2 linked regions of the Rattus norvegicus genome follow. The protein of the gene in region 2 interacts with the protein of the main gene of each other region in a biochemical or structural test. Links are inferred from orthologs where the notes say so. Each region holds a gene or a part of one and is shown on either strand. Other genes may lie near its edges.

The links.
Region 1: of the proteins of Cdk2 (region 2) and Npat, one has a biochemical effect on the other in vitro, tested with the Homo sapiens proteins (2 studies listed by BioGRID, with this or other methods). The link is inferred for Rattus norvegicus from reciprocal best matches to the Homo sapiens genes CDK2 and NPAT.

Annotation. Positions count from the first base shown.
Region 1 is NC_086026.1:62,863,538-62,867,191, reverse strand, and holds the end of Npat (protein NPAT), read right to left. Parts: coding exon 3,040-3,654; intron 1,875-3,039; coding exon 1,797-1,874; 3' UTR 127-1,796; downstream 1-126. UniProt on the Homo sapiens protein: Required for progression through the G1 and S phases of the cell cycle and for S phase entry. Activates transcription of the histone H2A, histone H2B, histone H3 and histone H4 genes in conjunction with MIZF.
Region 2 is NC_086025.1:1,713,841-1,716,488, reverse strand, and holds the end of Cdk2 (cyclin-dependent kinase 2), read left to right. Parts: coding exon of another isoform or gene 1-92; intron 93-388; coding exon 389-592; intron 593-845; coding exon 846-950; 3' UTR 951-2,097; downstream 2,098-2,648. UniProt on the Homo sapiens protein: Serine/threonine-protein kinase involved in the control of the cell cycle; essential for meiosis, but dispensable for mitosis. Phosphorylates CABLES1, CTNNB1, CDK2AP2, ERCC6, NBN, USP37, p53/TP53, NPM1, CDK7, RB1, BRCA2, MYC, NPAT, EZH2.

The DNA.
Region 1 (3,654 bases), on a different chromosome or scaffold from region 2:
GTGTATGGCGCATGCCTGCAATATTGGCACTTAAGAGGAGGCAGATGAAGAGGACTAGGAATTCAAAGTCACTGGACTATGTAATGAATTCAAAGCTAGCCTGACCTACAGAAAAGACACTGACTAAAAATAGCATGAGTTAATTTATATATGATTCTCATTATGCATCACACAGATGGGAGTTCATGAATTCCTGAAAAACACAGAGAATTAACTAAGCTACAAATAAATTTAATCAAAAGTTTCTAAATAGGACTGTCAATATAAATCCAAACTGGTAAAGTTAATGAAAATATATTTATTCAAACCTAACCGTAGGATAGACCCAAGCTGAGTTATATAAACATTAGCTGTATGCTTAGTCCCTTAGGTATATATCATAGTCATATAAAATTTCTCAAAATATAAATCTGTACAGTAAAATCTAGCAAGTAAAAAGACATAATTTATATATTGAAGACGTTTTTTGTTGTTACAGTTGGATGGATTTATTTCTTAAAGGCCCAGTACAAAAAATGGTTGAAGAAAGTGACTTTTTAATAAAATATACACCCGTAGAAAAAAACCTTAATATACTGATATTTAAGCAGTAAGAACTTAAGAAAACACTTCAATATCTAGGCACAATCGGTCAAGTATTAATGATAATTTCTGTCATTCCTTTAAAGTTTAAGCCAGCTTTTCAACTTGACTGTTGTTTATGAGTCAGTCTAACAGAGAAGGCACCTCTCACTCCCCTAAGGACCTTTTGAGAGTAATTATTTATAACACTTTAAAGAACGCGAGGTTCTATAGGTTATGTATAAACACAGTTATTTACATATCCCATTTGAGGGTAAACTAAATTACAATATAACTATGATTTTCATTTTTACATCTTAAGATGGACATGACTTTCGAAGACACCAGAAGACAATCCTCCATATAAGCTTTTACATACAAGATTTAAATTAATGTGCATTGGTCACTAGTATATGAAAAGTCTATGAATTAGTGCAATTCTTTGTATTCCCAGTGCTTAGGGAAAGTTTACATATAATCAAGAAATCTCGACTACTACACAACTCAAATTTTTATGGCTCAATAGTCTAACCACTTAATGTTCTGTAAAAAATTTCAAAAAGTTGTAAGTGAAATATCAGAACACTTAATAAATGGTTTATAAAAATCTCTTTAAAACAAAGAGGATAGATGATCAGAATAAAGTATAAAACTTCAGAAATATAGATTTTACTGAAATTTATTTAGGGTGATAAAATATTGACTCTAGGGGGAAATCATCAAACTGTTGTTTTCTGATTAGATATTTTACTAACCAGTTGAGGTGGTCATCATTATTATTTTTTACTTAGTGGCTTATCTAGTATTGGCTGAAGGTAATTTATAAGAATAATCATCATCTTCCTCCAAAGGAGATGAGAAACTACTCCAGAAGAATAAGCCTCGGGCATCACAGGAAGTCAATCAAGACAGTGTGGGAACGTTAGGTTGATTTAAGCTCTATTTTACACAATGTACACATGTACAATATACAGTGTCACAGCTATACAGTTTTGCAGACAGGGTTTACTTACATTTCTGCGTATGTTCTTTTTGTCTAAAATACAAATATTCCATGAAAGTCTATTTACAAACTAGGAAGCTGCTTCAGAAACAGCATGACTTAGATATAAAGTGAAACCTCAGTACAGTCAAAGTGCAGGTCATGTTTGCAGTCTGTCTCTATCCCATTTCCTACGCGCAGTCTGAAGGACACTAGTTTTAAATAGCTACTGGTCTCTATGTCAGGGTGTCCTTCACTCATCATAATGCAGTGATAGCAAGAACTTGTCCACATCCATTCCTGCTGGAAATGAACTAGGTAGCTTCTTTTTCTGTCAAAATAAAAACAAAAAAGAAGGAAAAACAATAAACTCTAGGCCAGATAATTTTCTTAGCAAATCACCTAAAACATTAGATTCTTTATTATAATGAAATTGCATCATTTTTGAGTTTGCTACAATCTATTTCTATAGGGAAAGACAGAGAGGTTTTACTAACCTAATTCAATGTTAGTTTAGGGCAAAAGGCACAAATGAAATCCAGAGTATATACATGTGAATGCTGAGACGAGAGAGACATGCTTCCTTTAAGGTGGTCATTTTTGTCAAATTGTAAATTTTACAAAGCATTACCAACAGATACTGTTTTACTACACTGATTTACTCTCTGCACGTGCACATGTGTGTATGTAAGTCAAAGGACTGTTTCTGGAAGTGGTTTTGCTTTTACCTGGCTCTCAAGGATTGAATTCTATAGTGGGTCAGCCTTGAAGACACACACCTTTGCCAGCTGACCCTGCTGCTAACGCACATTATCACTCACTCACCGAGCTCCAAATGCTAACACAGAGGAGGTGCTTTTAAAGTATTAGTCTATAACACACTACCACACCACGGGGCGAGACTTATGATTTTAGGTTAAATGATGAGGCAGAACAGGCCAGATTAGCCATGAATAGGCAGGCACAGCAATGACACACACTCCATACAGCATTCAAACTCAGGCTTGCAGGACACCAAATCTAAAAGCCACTTCTCTAACTTTTACTTTCTCCCCTACGGCATTCACATACTTTCCATTTAATTTTTTCGGTAATTTTAAGTAAATGCATTTTATTTATCAATCCTTGTACTGCCTTACTACAGACAATCCTGGTTAAAACACAAGGACATGAGTTTTTCTGCTACTCTGCCAGACTCATTACAGACTGTGGAAGAGATGGAGAACGCGTGGTGCTCCCCATGGTAATTCACGTAATGGTAGTTTCCCACACTTCTGTATCTGCATGAAAAATCCTGGGTGATACCATGACAGAAACATTCACTTGTCCTCAGGATGTCCTTAGAGACAACTTGTATTGTTGGGACCAGGAAACAATACTAAGTGCATGGTTCTGAGGATACATTTAGTCATATAGCTGCAGCAAGGACTTCTGACCTCTCTAAACTCTGAAGGAAGGGACAGGAGTGGAACTGAAATGAAAACTTTCAAACTTGCCTTGATTTTCTTCTTTTTCATTGGTACTGATGAATTTGCAAGATTTTTACTAGAAGTGCGGGAGTTCCTCTCACACTCATCTAATTCCTCAATTTTTCGTTTCTTCGTAGTGCTCCTTGAAGATGTTCTAAATTGCTGCGTGTTATCTTTTAGAGGAGTTGCTGTAGTCCTAGCAATTGCTGCTCTAGAGAGAATCATGAGCGTGTGGGCAGCCATGCTCACGCTGTTTTCGCTGCCCGTTTCACTGGCTGGGCTGCAGGCAGGCAAGTCAGCAGTGACAGCTGGGATCATTGCTCTGGGCACGCTGCCTTCCTCACCACAGCGTCTACTAGCAGGGGCCTTCATACTGTCAGTAGGCTCTTCTTTATGCTTTTCTCCTGCTCCTGCGCCAGTCGTCCGGGGTCCCGGCAAGTCACTATCAGCAGTCCTATTTGCTGGGTTGTGTAGTGGAACATCCTGCAGAGTTTCTAGCCCAGTTAACGAGCCGGCAGGTTTACTCTGCTCTTGTTTTTGATCCTTCACAGTCCCACTTACAGTAGTGGCATTTTTATTGTTTGAGGGTGTGGCTTGTTTTCTGGTCAATTCCTGCAGTGAGGCCATGGCTTTTTCATTCTT
Region 2 (2,648 bases):
ATGGAAGACACAGTCTCTGCCCGCTGTGCTCCTATCTAGAAGTGGCTGCATCACAAGGAGGGGGGATGACCGCAGTGTCTACCCCATACCCCGTGAGTGGCTTGGGATCCCTTTGCTACGTGTCAGTGGCACCCCAGACATTCACCCCCTCCCAGCCCCACCCAGCCTTGGGGATCTATGATGCCACGGTTGGGGGAAGGAAGGAGGGGCGAAGAGACAGATAAGGGACTTCATTGTCTCAAGCTCTGTATGACCGACCCCATGATGAGCCCCGGGGAGGGGAGTCATGGGCCCTGCTGACCTTTCACTGACTGTGGGAGCCTCCTTTGTACCGGGGCAATGCGGACTGACATCAGTGTGGCCTTTGCTTCCCTCTCCCTGTGTTCAGGTGACCCGCAGGGCCCTATTCCCTGGAGACTCTGAGATTGACCAACTCTTCCGGATCTTTCGGACTCTGGGGACCCCAGATGAGGTGGTTTGGCCAGGAGTTACTTCTATGCCTGATTATAAGCCAAGTTTCCCCAAGTGGGCTCGGCAGGATTTTAGCAAGGTTGTGCCTCCCCTGGATGAAGACGGACGGAGCTTGTTATCTGTAAGTGTCCGGCCACAATAGCTGCCCTCCCACTCTACAGAGAAGAGCTTTTCCTGGATGAAGAGAGCCCAAATCTGTTAGAAGTAGTACTGGGTAGCCCTCGCTTCCTCTCTTCATCAGTAGGCTGGTTCAGATGCAGGGGGAGGGAAACAAGAACTGGGTGAGAATACTGGTTCCCAAGTTTCTCAGTGCACCTGCTGTCCCTTTGGCCCACTGCCCCATCACTGAATTCAGACTGTATTTCTCTCTCCAGCAAATGCTGCACTATGACCCCAACAAGCGGATTTCAGCCAAAGCAGCCCTGGCTCACCCTTTCTTCCAGGATGTGACTAAACCAGTGCCCCACCTTCGACTCTGATGTCCTTCCCAAAGCCCTCTTCACCTGTGGTCTGACCTGATCCTGGGCCTTTTGGACACAGGTCAGCCTTCTGCTGTTTTCTGGCTGTCTTAGCCTTTTCTCTGGGCCAGCCGGTTCTGGGGATTCAGAGGTGCAGAGAAGGATTAGGTGAAAAGGGAGAAAGTTTTGGCATTAGATGCACTTAACCCGACTTCCAGCTTCTCTCCCTCTTCCCAGTCATCACTGAGAAGGATTAGTATTGAAGCAAAACTGACAGTTCTCCCCAGTGTCAGATTTTGCCATCCCAACCTTAAGACTGTCTCATAGTTACCGTGTTGAGGGAAATGCCCCCAGACTCCTGCTGACAATGTTTTCTAAACTAATGAGCAGAAGCCTAAGTTGGGACAGTTCAGAACCAAGCAAGAGGGGTCCATTTTAATGAATTAGAGTAAAAAAATAGACCTAAGCCATTTGTACCTTAGTCTTAGTGTTTGGCCTCATCTAGCAACCAAGGAAGCCTGGTTGGAGAAACAGAAGAAATGATTCCCTCCAGAGCCCTGTCTCCCTTCCCCAGGCAAGAAGAGCCAGGAGGGCACAGGCTTACGCTTCACTCTGATCTGTGTGCTTCACAGGGCAAGGTGAAAGACACTTGAATTTCCCTTTTTAGCAATCTTACTGTTTTCTGGTGCTGCCGGCTGAACCCAGGACCTTGCCCTCACTAAGCAAATGTACCTACCACCAGTGAGCCAGATTTCGTTCGAGCCCTCCTTTGGGAAGTTCAGTTCTTCAGTTGTCAGAGAGCCTTATTACCATCTTCCTCTGAGAGCCACCCTCACTCCTAGTAGTGGAAGCGAGCTAGGAGACATTTCGAGAATGCTGATACTTTTTAAAGGCTGGGTTAGGTCATTGGGGGAAATTTTCTATAAAAGAGTGAACAATTATATTTATATTTTCAAGTTAGAATAGTTTGGATATTTCAATGGTTTTTTGTTTGTTGTTTCTTTTTTTCTTTTTTGTCAGTGTGGATGGATTTGTTACCATGTGCACTTTGGGATTTTTTTTTTAATTGTTTAAAGAAAATATTTCTTTTATGATTTCCTTCTCCCACCCCGTGTTGTTAATATTATTTGTAATTTAGTTTGTAATTCATTAAAAGAAAATATTCTCAGGTGTGTCCTCCAGTGTTGTTAATATTATTTGTAATTTAGTTTGTAATTCATTAAAAGAAAATATTCTCAGGTGTATAGTGAATCTCTTTCATATTTATCATTTATTCATTTACTTGAAAGAATGGTGTGGGTGAAATTCTGAATGAGAATAGTCAGTATATAGTTCATATCCTTCCACCTAATCTCTGTGTATGCAGGGCATCTGCCATGCGCTGTGGTGGGGTGTTTCTAAGGGTGGGGAAACTTCCTTCCTACTTTCCCCTATGCACACAGGCACACCAATACAGAACACCGTTTCAGTTTTTCTCTTAGCAGCAACTTGACTTGAGTGGGCTTCAGGGACATCCATCTCAACACCATTTCCCAGGAAGCTTTTACCATTTTGTGTAGGGTTTTGTTTGACTGTGAAATTGTGTGTACATGTGAGTCTCTAGTGTCCGCAGAGGCCAGGAGAGGACGCTGCATCTCTTCCAGAGGTACAGTCAGCTGCGAGCTGTGGGCAACGAGCAGCCAGCACGCTGTGGTACTGGGAACAAGCCTTGGGTCTTCT